Linked DNA regions of Drosophila melanogaster. The protein of the gene in region 1 interacts with the protein of each later gene in a pairwise test. Each region holds a gene or a part of one and is shown on either strand. Other genes may lie near its edges.

Region 1 (5,410 bases):
GATTGCTGTTTATCCGACGAGAGGAAGACATTCAAGACACTCTTAGATAGCTCTGTACCCTCGTCCAGCTCATCGCTGGAACTGGTCCACTCGTCGGAGTACATCTCTTCGAATTCTGACTCCGAATCTGTATCGCCGTAGTCCACATCCACGTCCACGTCGTCGTCTTCTTCCTCCTCTTCCTCGTCCAAATCGCTGGCTGCGTCCATGAGCTCCACGGCAGCCTGAATGGCATTGAAACGGTCGACAACCTCACCGTTGTCCTGCTGCGGCAGAGCCTCCTCTGGCTGACCCACTTCCTCCTCTGGCATGTCCTGTTCCATGATCAGATCGTTATTATTGTTGTTGTTATTATTATGGTTGGCCAGCTGCTCCTGGTGGGCAGTTATACGAGGCGTCCTGTAAATCTTCGCCAGGAAGTCGCAGATAAACAAAAGAAATGTCCAAGTGTGACGCAGTTGGTCAAATACGATACACTTGAATTTGCCTGGATTTAGTATGTTCATAACACTCTCGATGAGTTTTGAGTTTTGATAACGTAACTAACAATTTGGTGCTTGATCTTGCCTGCCACAGGGAACAGAACAATTTTGTTACTTTTGTCAAATGTGGTTTTGGTTTTTCAGTTTTCTGTGGGAAAGGTGGGAGGAGGGTCTGAAGCGACCTCGCACAGCTGGTTAACTAAGCTGTTGTTGTTCATTTGATTTCTGCTGCTTCTGTTTCTATTGTTGTTGTTGCTACTGCTGTCATTTTGACACACACTGCCTCTCGCTCGCACCCACACACACACGCACCCACATGTGTTACGTTACGTGGTTTGTGAAAATGTTTGTTCCTTTGCTAATTCAACTGCTCGTCAATTTTCCCCGCTAGGCTATTGCAATTTCACTAGTTGTGGCACGCTGCCGATTTGTTTAATTATTGCAGTCGATTACACTCGCGCATCGTTTCGTGTGCGACAAACTACGCTTTAAATTTAGAACTGAACATTTGAGCAGTGTGGCCGTGGAATTATCGATAACTGGCATAAACGGTCATGCTGCATTCGAGTGCATTTGAGTCAGAGATGACACGCTATCGATTGCACAGTTGGCTATCGATAGTGTATTTCATTTTTTATAATTAAGTTGGGAGGCACTTAAAACAATATGCACTGTTCTAATTAGCATAAAAGAACTTTAATCAGAATGTTATAGCACCATCTGCTTAAATTAAATTAAAAAACTTTCAACTCACATTATCTGTGTATGTTTTAAATAAAAAAAATACAATTTTGAAGCAAGCCAATTCGAAATACATTTTTATAAAAAAAAAACCATTTTATGAGTTTTTAATATCCAAAGAAGTAAACAATGTATCTATACATATATTTGTTGTACATATTTATAATTGCGTTTATTTTAACTTAAAGTTATTAAATTATATCACTGTTCATATTAGTGTGACCATTTGCATAAAATTTCACCGTTTTCCCTCAATCCAAATGCGGCCGCATTTCATTCCAACAGTATAAGACCCCGTCGGCACAGGTATTCCACAAGATTCTGTTATTCGCTTGTGTAATTAACGGATGCGGTGTCAACTAGTAAAAATGCAATACCATCCCAAGTCGAATAAACTTTGATATTGCCCAAACAATCGAATGTGGTACAGATTGTGAAAGTAGCGTGCAACGCTGCCGTCTACTTAAACTTGTAAAGTTCCTCCTGCTCCGTCATCAGACTTTCTGATAGCATCCCGCGCAATCCAAATTCTGGGAATGATTTCAGCGCGCCAGTGCGTCATTTAAATTGCAAAGCGCACGAGTCCGAGCCACCAGCTGGATCTCCAGGATTCATAGACCAGGATCGAGACCAGGTCGGCAGAAAAGCACGAGGAGCCACAGGAGTTGCCCGAGTTCCACAGGCATAACCTTAAACGGCACGTGCACCGCGCGTAGAAGAGTTCTCTGCGTGCCACCACACAGCGAATCGGTTGCTCTCCCAAAAAACAAACACGCAATACCAAATTCCCGAAGTCGAAGACATGGCCACCCTCCTCAGCAACGGACAGCAGTCGGTAATGGCCAGCACCAGTAATGGTCAGGAGCAGCAACGGCACCAGGACGAACCGGAGCAGCAGCAGCAGGTCGAGATCAGAAAGTCGAGCTCACCGAAACCAGGCGCCATGCCCAGCTTGAAGCTGAACAGAATGGGTTCGGTGTCACCGAAAGATAAACGAGTCTACAAAATCGTCCTCACTGGCGGTGAGTTTTAATTTTCCCCCAAAACGAATGTATATCTAAGTTAGCTATCTGGGTTTGCTGTGTATCTGTTACAAGTGTCCTCGTTCACTCGCATCCTCGTGGCCCATACACCCACCCGATTGCGATTTGTTTACGATTTGTGTCAAGGTCGCGAATTTCAACCAATGGGTAGAGATTATGTCCTGCGCGCAGCTTCCCAAGCTCTTTCGCCACCTTTCAAGTGGGGTAGCTCTATCATATTTCGTTCTTTGTATTCATGTGGCTACCGGCTTTTGCGGCCAGTCGGCGCTTCAAAGACCCTCGCCAAAAACTATTTACAATTCATATGCGAAGAATTAATTCATAGGAAACCTGTTTTTGCTCGACCATCATATGAGCGGCGGTTGGGCGCGTGGTCTAATCATTTAATTTGGGCCCAAGTTATGGCTGTGATTAGAAGCGCAAAAAAAAAAAAAAAACAAAAAAAAAACGAAAGCATTGATGTATTGACGGGCCTATCTACCCCACACATACTACTTATAGTATTATCGCCTACGGTGCGGGCTTCCTCCGCCCGAGTGCTCTAATAATTTTCGGAAGAGGCTGATAAAAGACAGGCACATCGCCACGTGTGTTACATTGACGAAAATCCCTTTGGGAATCCCAGTAAGGACCCATTCAAGGAATTTCTTATCGTTTGAATGACGAACGTGACTCTTTTTAAGCGTGCATTCGGAATCGATTTCTCCAGATCGCTGCGCAATGCATTCAGCAATGGGCGTAATTGCCTTCAGGGTCAGTCCGCAGACCTAATCGAGTGATATGCACAGCGGCGGGAAACTCAAGTGCACTTGATTTGCTGGAATTTGGGACACAAATCGAATGGATTCGTTTCCGCCTCGTCGATTCAAGCAATGAACAAGACCATGGCGACCTAGAGCCACCACATATCTTATCCAACTGATAGATAGATAGATAGAGTATAGCTTCTAATACATGTTCTTTCATCTCATCAATTTTAAAGTTGTTTTAAAATAAGCGTTATCGTTGATAGTTTTTCATAGAATTCATTAATTTTTTAATGGTGTACCTAAAACGTATTTAGTTGTCTAACGATATGTTAAGGCATTTACAAACCCAATTTACTGGTTCAGATTTTAATTTATGTAAACTGCAAGCACGTGCGAATTTGTTTAGTTAATTAATACAACCATGCTAAAGGAACGTGGTTCTTTTTAAAATGTATTTTTAGAAACCAGCAAGTTTTCGTTTTAAACTTTTTAGCAATATTTTCCGCACTAGCTCGGCACATTTCAATTGAGCTATAAAACATTTTACGGGAATTTTCCAACAAGTTTGAGCGCACCTTTCTCCCCTTTTTTCTGACAATACAAGCAGTATAGATTTGAAGAATGTAACCTTAGCCCGTTTGCCAATAAACAAATAAAACTAATGAATACATTATGCGTTGTTTTTTCAGGGCCTTGCGGCGGAAAGACGACGGGACAGTCCCGCTTGTGCACTTTCTTCGAAAACCTTGGATGGAAGGTGAGTGTCGTGGGTGGATTCTATTGGGGGAATGGGAAATGGGAAATGGGTATGCCGATCCTAGACTAAGGCAAGTTAGCGATTGCTTTGGGCCGCGGGCCGCTCTGTAAGTAGAGGAGGAAGTGAAGCCATGGCGATAGCGGGATTACCTTTAGATACGATTCCCCTCATTACAATTCTATTGTGCCGAAAACTCGAAACAAAGCAATGAGCATGTTAAATATTTTCAGGTATTCCGCGTGCCTGAAACGGCCACTGTTTTACTCAGGTAAATTCCCTCTCCACACACACTCTTACACTCAAAAAAAAAAAAAAGAAATTAACGTAATCAATGCAATGCTAGGCAATCAAAGCGAAAGGAGCCGCTCAGGAGTTTGCCACCTGAGATTGGACCAAGTAGCCTTGCCTGCCGCTCGTCTTTTACCTGTGACGATGACCATGCCGATACGAACTTAATTCCATTCGAGTTCCATTCTCGATGCTCTTGAACTTTGAAATACTTGATCTAGTGAATACAAATAGAATTTCATGTGAATGATGCTAATTCCCGCTTGTCTTTCTCTCTGTTTCTCCCCCAAACCATCCGAATATCTAGTGGCGGTGTGAAGTTCTCCGATCTGACCGAGAAAGAGGGTAAGTATAGATAGCAGGCGGTGGTGCAACCGACCGGGAGACCAAAGAATAACTTGCTAGTTAACTTAGCAGAGGAGATAAGAGAAGAGGAGTCTTACAATGCAAGCATTTTCCGAGTCCACACACACACATATCTCATTATCCGAGCACTGTCAAGTTCGATACCAAGTTTTCTCGAAGCAACGAAAATAAATCAAAATATTTACTTGCCGCTAGCGACCAACAGAAAGAATCCCTATACTATACGTACAATATATGCTAGGGGTATTTTTAAAATCAGGCAAGTGCGACAGCCAGCATACTATAGATAGTACGAGTATATACATATATCTGAGTATTTGGCCAGAAGGTCCCCCGCCTCACGAGAGTCACGTCTTCAATGAAACTTACGTAATTCCTTGGGACACGATTCGAATTCCCCACTCGATATCCTGATTGCGTGACTCGAGGTCATTTCGCTAGCTTTCTTCCTTTTCACTCGCCGAGCAATTTGTCAATTATGGTTATTAATGGATTTGTCAATGTGCTTGTGCCGGCGGGGGCGGAGAGGAGGCGCATTCGAAAATATCTAAATTGCCAAAAAGTACAATCAGATAAGATATAGAATGTAGCTACAGGTCTGATCACATGTCGGCCGATTAGTCGCAATTCCTTACAAAGCCTTCATGAGTAATGGCATTCGCAAGCAGGACAATTAAAGCCTTTATGAGTCACAAGCGGACGGGTACATCTATACATATATATATAGTATTTACGGCCAGCGGCTAATCTAATACACACCCACTCCCATACGATTACCTAAAATAAATCGCCAACCAAATCAACCAAAACCAACCACACTCACAGACCCGCCCACGCCAACCACGTTCGTTTACAAAGATCTGCCCTTCGCCGCTCCGGAGCACAGTCTCATCGATCTAACCGCATCCTGTCCGCGCTGCTTGGCCAAGGCTGCATCCCGGCCCAATGGCAGCGAAGGTGAGTGAGAGCCGTTGAAGCCAAAGA
Region 2 (4,808 bases), on another chromosome or scaffold:
TTTAGGAGACGCTCGATTGGGTTGATACGGAAAATTGGGCATAGATAGTCCACGATAGGACTTAGCCTTTTTGACTAACTTTTTTCTTACCTAAAACTTACAGATTAGTTTATAAAAGATTATAATAGAAATCACTGATAATCTTATATAATTTGCTTAACAAATTTATTACTACAAAAATCAATATTGGTTTATTAAACTTTTTTTTACTGTGTATACTCGAGTATACGGTACCCGGTTATTTTACATTTATACTACTGCGCCCCTATCGACGAACTGTTTGGGCGACATCTAGCGTCTGTAAATGAAAGTCGCATTGCCGGTAGATGGCAGCACAGTAATAGTTATGTGCTTATTTGTAATGTATGTAGGTCCATTTCAATATTAACTTTCTATAATTAAGTTGCGGGAGGTCTCAACCTGCGGCAAGTACTCACTAAATCCTTACTGCGAGATTTTTAAATTCAAAAACTACATAATGGCAATTAAATGAGGCTAAGATGAGTATTTATATAAAATAAATGTTCTCTTCGGTAGCGAGTATTGATATAGATTAGGCAAAAAATCCATTTTCAAAAAACGAAAGCCTATTCCCATCTTTGTTTCGTGCAACCTTTTCGATAGTTATCGATAGAGAAAAATCGAAACACATATGTTTGGATCATGATACCTTTCTCTTACGCCGTCCGAAAGAACTGGCAGCCTGGGAAACAAAACTTATTCGTCATCAACTGAATAGCTATTGTAAACAATGGATACAAAGTGTGAGTAAAAAACATAAATTCAAGAAGAAAACTATATATATACTCACAATAAGCCAGCTTACGAAAGGAAGTGGTGTACATCCAACACCCGACTTTTATTGTCCCTTTACAATGAACGCCAAGCTGATTTTCGGGATCCGAAAAAAAAGATCAAGGACATTTGGGGGGAAATGGTCGTTGCCCTTGAAAGCCAGGGAATGACAGATATCGATGCAGTTCAGCTGGATCGAAAATTTAGGAACCTGAAGAAGACCTACTATAGCATAAGGAGCAAGCTCCTGGCGAAGGTACCGCATTTCCATCCAAACTGGCAGTTCTACGACGAGATGTCCGAAATTCTAAAGGATGACCCTGTCCCACCGCCGCAGGAACTTTCCATCAATGATTTCGATGAAGCGGTGGTCAGTTTGGAGACCGGTATCCAGAAAGGCAGGATGCTGTCTATGGGCACCACTGTCAGCACAGTTATTCCCCGCCAAATGCGTACGTATCGCAAACGAAAGCAGCCATTGGATGATGTCGATATCAAGATCCAGAAGGACTACGAAGTGCAAACGGATCGGCAGCGGGATGGGGAACAGTTTACAGTCTTTAATGCCGCCGAACCCAATACTAATGATTTGTCAGAGTCTGCGGCCGAGATCTCCATCAGCAACGACGAAGAGGCATTGAGACACCTAAGAGCGCTCCAGGAGTACGCCATGATCCATGATAATTTCAGGGCCATAGGACTGCTAATACAGGTGGAGCACGCCATTCAATATCCAGCCCAGATCAAGGACTTCGAGGTGGATCAAACGTAGTGTCCTTATAAACAAGCACGTAATCTACTGGAAAAGCAAAGATAAGATAAGGCACATACCTAATTTATACCTCTATATTTAAGATTTTAATATTTTATAATATATATACTTTAATTTACTTTATTTAAATATGGTTCATGCACTTGCTAACACCACTGAAAAATGAATCTGGTTCTAAACAAATCTGGCTTGGGTATTGGCTAAAATATTGCGCTGTGGCAATACCGTTTTCTAAAACCTATAGTTACAACAATCTAAAGGAATTTCACAAGAAAAACCAACATTTCTGAAATCTTATTAGTATTTTGAAGAGTAACAAAGTGAATCCTGCCGAGATCAACGCCGATCTGTAAGCAAGTTCGTCTTGGAAATTGACAAAAACCGAAAAATCTGGCAGCACCAATATGACACTAAAGGTTCAAGAAAAGACCTTCGGTTGCACAAAATAGAAAATTCAAACATAATTGAAAAGAATTAACTAGTATCGTGAAAACATGTAATACAGTTAATAAAAAGTTATAGTATTATGCAATATTGATCAAATGAAGCAAACTTTATCGATAACTTCGAAATTGCAACCCTAAATGCATCGGATGGGCAATACCAATCTGAAGTCTACAAAAAAGCATATTGTGGAAGTCTAAGTTTTGTTAAATTTATGGAAAAGGAATCCAATTTATCGGACAACTTGCAGTCCCGGTTATTTGCACTGGGTCCTGCCCCGCCAGGATTTCGTCCACCGGATGCTACCGCCTTTGCCACAGCGGAGTCAAATCTTCGTAATGCCATCCGCTACCTTAATGATACCTATGGCGAGCTCGATCAGCTGCGCACTGTCATCCAGAAGGAGAAGAATAACTCGAAGCGTACGTCCTACAAGGCGCAGTCCATGATGCTTGCCATGCAAGTGATACGTTTCAAAGGACTTATTGGGAAGTACAGGGACATTCTGATTGGCCTGCAGGATGCCGAAATCATCAAGGTCAAACAATACATAGAGCAAATGGTGGAGATGAGGAACAAAATCCAGGCAAAGACCGATCCCACACAGCGCGAGTTCCAAGTGGGCAGCTCAATCTCACTGGTGCAGGAACAGCGCAAGACCAAGAGAATCTGCCGCAGGTGGCGGGATCGCCTGGTCCAGCTGACGGAGGCCAAGATGGACAAAACTGAGCAACTTACTGAGAAACCAAAGCTGATCAATGTAAGAACCGTTACAAAAGAACTTATACATATTTTCATTGCGCTTCCAATATCCATCCATGTTTTCATGAAAACTCTCATCGAATTCTGATCGAATTTCGACTGAACTCGATATGCTTTTTTAGAAACCTAGAAATATGTTAAATGCAAAAACCAACAAGTGGAAGGAAGCTGTAAGCTTGGTGAGTATAGCCAAACATATAAAGGATAAGTTAAATGCTAGTAAATATAAAACTAATCCTAGCAACAAAGCGGTCTAATTAAAAGTGGCTGTAAGAGGTGTGAATACCTAAGAAAGCTGACTAAGAATCGTCCATCCAAACTTTGTAAGGTGTGTAAAAAATGGTCTGATGATGAAAAAGCAAAAGCGGCAGGAAATAAGAAAGCCAACAAAACGCCAATAATGGTATGACACTATTGAAAAGTCGCAACATAAATTAATACTATTATTGCAGGCGAAGTCGAAAAAATTAGAAGTACGCGTGCGTACGGATTCTGAAGAAGCTATAATTAAAATAGAGATAGAGGTGGGTGTGTACAAGTAGATCAACAGTAACATTAGCACTTATTATTAATTTTCTTAGCATGGTGAATTTACCGATGAAGAGGAAATTGGGTCATTGGAAAAGGAAACGACCTTAAAAGATGAGATCAAGGAGGTTAGTTGTTTCTTCAACCTGAAAAATGTGTTTAATTTTGGAATGTTTTTTTTTAGACTGTTGAATCTCACGACACGGCAGCAGTTGAGGTAAGTAAACAGGTCCTTGGACTGTAATAGAACTAACGTAACGATAAATGACTCAATGACAGGAGGAAAATGAGACCAGTCAAGACGATGTGGACCCCAAAGTAGTCGCTTCCTTACAAAATTCACTGAAATCCATCGACTGTAAAAATATGGCCTTGGCCTACGTGAAGGTCTTACAGGAGTACGCCATGTTAAATGATAACTATCGGGCCATTGGACTACTTACTGAAGTTGAAAAATCAGTTTTAAATCCGCCTCAGAACGAGGATTTCGATCTATGATCTTATTGACGCCACAAAAATAAAGTTTAGTTTTTATATGTAATCTACAATTAAAATGTTCGTGTGTCCTGCCTTTGAGAGTCAAGACCCAAAATGTGTAAATAATTGTAATATGCGAAAAGAGTTTATAGAGTGGAATAACCAACAGGGTCCCACTTAAATGTGGTAAACGTTAAATTAAGCACTAGATATAATTTGAGCAAAAATAGCTTTATATATATGTATGTGTACATATCAAACCAGTTTCAGCTCAGATTAGGTGGTAATGCGATTTGTGTTTTTCGGCATGTTAAACCAGTTATAGCTGCTTTAGCGAGAGAATATTTACTCTCGATCCGAAAATAAATCCCATACCGCGAACGAATACCACCACGATCGGAATCGGAACGTGGGAAGTCGGTTTAGATCGCGAGAGAAAGAGCGGAATGTCTCTCGCAAAGATACGGTTTTTGCCGCTCCGCCAAACGGAGGAGAGTCCAGATCTCTGCAATGTTCGGACCGCATGCTCAGTCATTGAGTTGCACTCGCTCTGGCAACTTTAAACACGTGCGACCGCACATATTTTCTGTTTAATGTGCCTAAAAAACTGCTGTATATTTTCAACAAAGTGTACTTTATGCTCTAAGCTTTCCGACTGAGGTATGTAAACAAGATTTCTAGCTCTTCTCTGTATAATAACTATTTCGTTTTAATTTCATTGTTAAAGGAACAGAATTATATTGGTCACGTGAGGAGGGGGGGCCAGACTGGGAGTGCGAGCACGCTAAGAGAGAGTGGAGAACCTGAAAGTGTGAGAGCGGGAGTGGAAATGTACTCTGACGTAAGTATACTTTCGTAGTGAGTAAGTGAGAGTGCAATGCTTCGTTTTAGTAAAATCTTTTGAAATTTGTTATCTCTGAGCTAAAATATGCGAGACCCATTTGCGAATAAGAAGAGGGCATGTTTTGTAAATATACATACATAAATATGTATAAGGCATTCATGATATACACGCATACAGATAATTTGA
Region 3 (5,730 bases), on another chromosome or scaffold:
TCAGCAGTCGAGAATCCGTAGACCTATGCCAAAATATTTGGTTTCTCTCCAGGTTGGAGGCACTGAAGTTCAGGTCTTGATAAGGCAGCCCGGCCCGAATCCCAGTGCCGAGCTTCAGACACACACACCTAATTACACCTGCGATAGCGTTCTGGCGCAAAACAAATCATTGCCGAATTAATCGAGAGATTCGTATGGTGATTGGTATTATCAGAAGATTGACTACTGATTTGGCGCACTCATGGCAGTTAAATGGTGCTACACGGCCTGGTTTGCCACTTAGTCGTTCGCGAAATTCGGACTACTTTAAAGGTGATCTCGGAAGAATGCGACCAATCGATTTTGGGGGTAAGCTGGTGAAGAGTTGGCTACCCAAGGCTAGTAACTTATTTCGGGTCCGTATCCTAGGTCTCTGGACCGTTCTGCTGCTTATCGGAGGTCTTCAAACTGTGGTAGCCCAGTTGACGAATGTGTGCCAAAATCAGGAAGATGGCACTAGACTTCCGTTGGCCACCCACTGTTCCCGATTTGTCGTTTGTCTGAAGGGAGAGGTTTCCATTATCGGTAGCTGCCCTCGTGGACTCCATTTCAATCGGGAGCTGAGGGAGTGCGACTTCCAGTGGCGAGCTAATTGCTTGGGACTCTCGGCCTTTGCCGAAGTGGATGATCAGTGTACCTGCGATTGCTGTGCTGAGGAGTGCCAGGATCCCATTGACGATATCGATGAAACTACCACGGCGGTCACCGAGGACTGCGATCCGGATACCACCACTTCAGCCACGGAACCCTCCGATTCCACGGAGCCGACGGATGCTACAACGGATTTCGATGACCCCAACAACTCCTCCAACACCACGCCTTCGAGTCCAAGTGTGGTGCCCTCGTATTGCAAAAGTTCCCGCACGGATTGCGTTAATCAGAAAACTGGCACCTATATAGATATGCCCGGGATCTGCGTGAGGTTCATCCAATGCAACAATGGTTGTGCCGAGGAATTCCAGTGTCCCTCCGGTCTGTACTTCAACACGGCGATAGACGATTGCGATTACTGGTGGAATGTGGACTGTACCCCCACCGCCGATGGCTCCACTGAGATCGAGGGACCATCGGGCACCACCTGCTCCAGTCAGGGCGAATGCGCTGGTAAGAGGGATGGCTACATGATTGCGGACCCCAATTCGAATGGATTCTTCGTCTGCCAATGCCAGTGCCCCATTGCGATGCCCTGTTCCGAGGGTCTGAAGTTCAACGAGACGGCCCAAGTGTGTGATTGGATTAAGGACACTAAATCCGCAATTGGTTCCTCGGCGGTTCAATGTTACGGTGACCTCGTCTACAACGCCACCTTAGACCAGTGCGACTATCCTGAAAACTATGTGCCCAAGGTGGAGTGCAATACCACCAGCACCGTGTGCCAAAACCAGCCGGAGGGAGAACTCTTTCCGGTGGAAGGCAAGTGCAACATGTTCTACAAGTGTAACTTCAACTGCGCCGTCGAGCAATATTGTCCGAACAACTTGGTCTACAACCCAAATACCGAAGAATGTGAATACCCCCAGGACTATGTTTGCCCGTGGGAGTATACCCCACCCTCTGGTCCCAATGCAGGACCTTCGGGAATCGCCTGCGAGAGTAATGGCCGTTGCATGGGACAACGTGAGGGTACCTACTTAAAGTCCACCACAAATTGTAGCAATTACGTCGTCTGCCAGTGTGAATGCGAGGTCGAGATGGAGTGCGCCGATGGCTTGTATTGGGACGAAAGCTTGCAGACCTGCAATTATAAGAACCAAGTGACCTGCACTCTTTAAATGACCGATTGGCAAATAAAGAAAGTGATTATCAAAGCAACTACTACTACTAGGATGTAGCCTAATCTGCCCATTTATTAATGAAACATTGGATCAGTAAATCATTTTAATCAGTTTTGTGGCGGGAATATGCCAACAGGTGTCGGCACTCAATGAGATTGGCAAGAGCTTATCGAACATAAATACCCATTTTTTTTTTTTTAATAAAGAAGGGGTATGTTTCCTGTAGGAATTTGTAGCTGGTCCAACCACTGCTATCACAATATAAAGCTTCAAAATAGTTAGTTCACATAGGTAAGTACCTATCAGTAGTTGTTCTTCTTTATACATATATGCACTATGGCGCATTGAAATTTCAATTTCAATCGATCGTTAAGACTTCTCATATATGAGCATCTTATAGCAACTGAAGAATAATTTCTTTTGGACTCTTTGATTTCGCGGATTCACAATGAACCGCTGAGTTTTATAAATAGTGACAATATCGATTGCTTGTATTACTACTGTATATATATGCTGATAGTATCACGGATGTTTCGACATTATCACCGCCACATGCTCTGATGCAGGAAGAGACATTCAATTATTTTAATTGCCGGTAAATATAAAAGGCGATATCTTCGAGCGAAGATTCATCAGTGAGCATTCGATACGCAGAGTGCAAAGATGGCCCAATCCAGAACTAAACACTATGGTAAGGACGGAGCAATGATAATTGGGAGGATGATTGTTGATCCGCGGTTTTTACCCAGGAGTGGCCCTGTGCCTAATAATTTCCCTCTTTATGGGATCGTCAAGTGCTGTGTGCTGCTCGGAGGGCGACACAAAAGTGGATGCGGATGATTGTACCAAGTATCTGATCTGCTGTCACGGCGAATTTGTATCCAAGTCGTGTGCAAGCGGATCCTATTGGAATTCGGAGTTAAATATCTGTGTCGTGGATGATGGTCAATGCAGACCTCCAACCTGTGTGGATGGAGAAATTACACCGAATCCAGATGACTGTGCCGGCTATTTAGAGTGCGTGGACGGAATCATAGTGATCCTGACCTGTCCAGATGGCGATTACTTCAATTCGACCCTAAATCGGTGCGTTGAAGATACCTGCGGCGTGTGCAACGGAAATGGAACGACATGCACTGATGGCGAACTTAAGGTGGACCCCACCAATTGCGCAGGCTACTTGGCTTGCTCGAACGGTAACTGGGTGAGCAAGCAGTGCGCTGACGGAGCTTACTTCAATGCCATACTGGAGACTTGTGTACAAGACGACGAGGGAATATGCGTCAATTGTAAAGAGGGATCTACAAAACCCTTGGCCGACTGTACCATGTATGAGATCTGTTCCGGTGGCAAGTATGTGACCAAGTCCTGCGACAGTGGTTACTACTGGAACAGCCAATCAGAGGTCTGCGATGTGGATAATGGTCAGTGCAATGGAAATGGAACGACATGCACTGATGGCGAACTTAAGGTGGACCCCACCAATTGCGCAGGCTACTTGGCTTGCTCGAACGGTAACTGGGTGAGCAAGCAGTGCGCCGACGGAGCTTACTTCAATGTCACTCTGGAGACTTGTGTACAAGACGACGAGGGAATATGTGTCAATTGTAAAGAGGGATCTACAAAACCCTTGGCCGACTGTACCATGTATGAGATCTGTTCCGGTGGCAAGTATGTGACCAAGTCCTGCGACAGTGGTTACTACTGGAACAGCCAATCAGAGGTCTGCGATGTGGATAATGGTCAGTGCAATGGAAATGGAACGACATGCACTGATGGCGAACTTAAGGTGGACCCCACCAATTGCGCAGGCTACTTGGCTTGCTCGAACGGTAACTGGGTGAGCAAGCAGTGCGCCGACGGAGCTTACTTCAATGCCACACTGGAGACTTGTGTACAAGACGACGAGGGAATATGTGTCAATTGTAAAGAGGGATCTACAAAACCCTTGGCCGACTGTACCATGTATGAGATCTGTTCCGGTGGCAAGTATGTGACCAAGTCCTGCGACAGTGGTTACTACTGGAACAGCCAATCAGAGGTCTGCGATGTGGATAATGGTCAGTGCAATGGAAATGGAACGACATGCACTGATGGCGAACTTAAGGTGGACCCCACCAATTGCGCAGGCTACTTGGCTTGCTCGAACGGTAACTGGGTGAGCAAGCAGTGCGCCGACGGAGCTTACTTCAATGCCACACTGGAGACTTGTGTACAAGACGACGAGGGAATATGTGTCAATTGTAAAGAGGGATCTACAAAACCCTTGGCCGACTGTACCATGTATGAGATCTGTTCCGGTGGCAAGTATGTGACCAAGTCCTGCGACAGTGGTTACTACTGGAACAGCCAGTCAGAGGTCTGCGATGTGGATAATGGTCAGTGCAACGGAAATGGAACGACATGCACTGAGAATGAGGTTAAGGTGAATCCTGCGGACTGCGCCGGATACCTACAGTGCATAAACGGAGTCTTTGTGGCCAGGAAGTGCTCCGCTACGCAGTTCTTCAATACCACACTGAAGGAATGCGAGGTCGACACAGAGAATGTGTGCATTCCCAAAACCTGCGATCCCGACTGCTGCGATGTGCCCAACAATTCCATCTGGCCCGTGGAGAAAAATTGCTCCGCCTTCTACCAGTGCGTAAATGGTAACAAATATGAGCAGCGGTGCTCCAACAACCTGCAATACAATTCAATAATAGAGCAGTGCGATTATCCCGAAAATGTTCAATGCGACGATGGATCTGCACCGCCAAGTGGTCCGATTGCCGGACCCTCGGGAACTTATTGCGAGAGCCACGGACGATGCGTTGGCCAGCGGGATGGTACCATGTTCGCCGATGCCAGCGGAGATTGTAGTTCTAATTATGTAGTCTGCCAGTGCGAGTGTGAGGTGAACTTCACTTGTTCCTCTGGACTTTTGTTCAATTTGCAGGTCAAATCCTGCGATTGGCCCGATAATGTTAAGTGCTAAGTGGTTTCAATAAACAATATTTAAAGCAGAGTATTAAACGAAAAGATTTTCGTTTTTCTATAGATAAAAACTACTTATTCTAAGCAGAGAATAGAAAATATTCCCCTTATTTTTAGTACTATATGATGTGGCTATATTTTCTCTGTTTAGGCTTTGGACTATTAAAAATTATTATAATTCAAGCACTTTATTGGGGTCTTAAAAAAATATAGTTAGAATCGACGTTTTTTTGACTTGCGCACAGGTTTCTTTGACTTGGATTTGCTTTCATTTAGCTTCGTCTGGCATTTTGCAATTTTGGGATAATCGCATCGTGATGTGGCTATATTGAAATGCAGGCCAGTTGGGCAGTCCATTACCAAAAACATCATGTTGCTGCAGAGCATAAACTTGCCACAATCGCTGCGATGAGCAACAAGAGAGTTTTCCTTTTCATCTGAACACACTCCTCCCGTGGTGGCAGGACCATCTGATTCTTTATTTTCTCGGGTTCCACCCGAACACTTGGCTTCTGAGGCCTTCATGCAAATGCGACGAGTTGGACTAAAATGTTGTTTGTCAGGACAAGAGCGCAGATGGGGCTTTTTTGCTTTGCAGACATAATATTCCTGGCAGGACCCGTTCTTTGTAAGCATCACTCCATCCTTCTTGCCAGCACACATTTTGTCAAGGGTTGTAGGACGCGGCTTTTTCGTCGCTTTGACAGTAACGGGAGGATCAGTTTTGGCCATTTCCTCATCATCGTCTTCGTCGCTTTCAGAACTTGACGTGTCGTCAACAATATTATCCTTGCCATCGAAAATGCAATCCACATTGTCAGGATCATCGCAGTGCAACGTTAAAGGATTAAACAACGTATTCTTTTCACAAGTTCCGGTCACAGCGTTTCCATCAGCACACACGTAATATCCTTTACAGGATCCAAACATGGGCAAGAGT

Evidence for each region. The genes of interacting proteins can lie anywhere in the genome.
Region 2: the proteins of Ttd14 (region 1) and CkIIalpha-i3 interact in a two-hybrid assay, tested with the Drosophila melanogaster proteins (one large-scale study listed by BioGRID).
Region 3: the proteins of Ttd14 (region 1) and CG17826 interact in a two-hybrid assay, tested with the Drosophila melanogaster proteins (one large-scale study listed by BioGRID).

Annotation. Positions count from the first base shown.
Region 1 is NT_033778.4:18,436,570-18,441,979, reverse strand, and holds the start of Ttd14 (TRPL translocation defect 14), read left to right. Parts: upstream 1-1,504; 5' UTR 1,505-2,025; coding exon 2,026-2,245; intron 2,246-3,704; coding exon 3,705-3,772; intron 3,773-4,002; coding exon 4,003-4,040; intron 4,041-4,367; coding exon 4,368-4,405; intron 4,406-5,251; coding exon 5,252-5,383; intron 5,384-5,410. Other genes in the region: slim (scruin like at the midline), read right to left, coding at 1-506.
Region 2 is NT_037436.4:707,701-712,508, reverse strand, and holds CkIIalpha-i3 (CKII-alpha subunit interactor-3), read left to right. Parts: upstream 1-2,147; 5' UTR 2,148-2,151; coding exon 2,152-2,199; exon of another isoform or gene 2,200-2,225; coding exon of another isoform or gene 2,226-2,261; coding exon 2,262-2,771; intron 2,772-2,895; coding exon 2,896-2,952; intron 2,953-3,014; coding exon 3,015-3,176; intron 3,177-3,225; coding exon 3,226-3,297; intron 3,298-3,354; coding exon 3,355-3,429; intron 3,430-3,485; coding exon 3,486-3,518; intron 3,519-3,580; coding exon 3,581-3,799; 3' UTR 3,800-3,908; downstream 3,909-4,808. Other genes in the region: CG13896 (uncharacterized protein), read left to right, coding at 752-764, 822-1,567; CG13895 (uncharacterized protein), read left to right, coding at 4,608-4,619.
Region 3 is NT_037436.4:11,947,396-11,953,125, forward strand, and holds CG17826 (uncharacterized protein), read left to right. Parts: upstream 1-2,443; 5' UTR 2,444-2,477; coding exon 2,478-2,505; intron 2,506-2,563; coding exon 2,564-4,791; 3' UTR 4,792-4,830; downstream 4,831-5,730. Other genes in the region: CG7252 (uncharacterized protein), read left to right, coding at 327-348, 409-1,811; obst-G (obstructor-G), read right to left, coding at 5,004-5,730.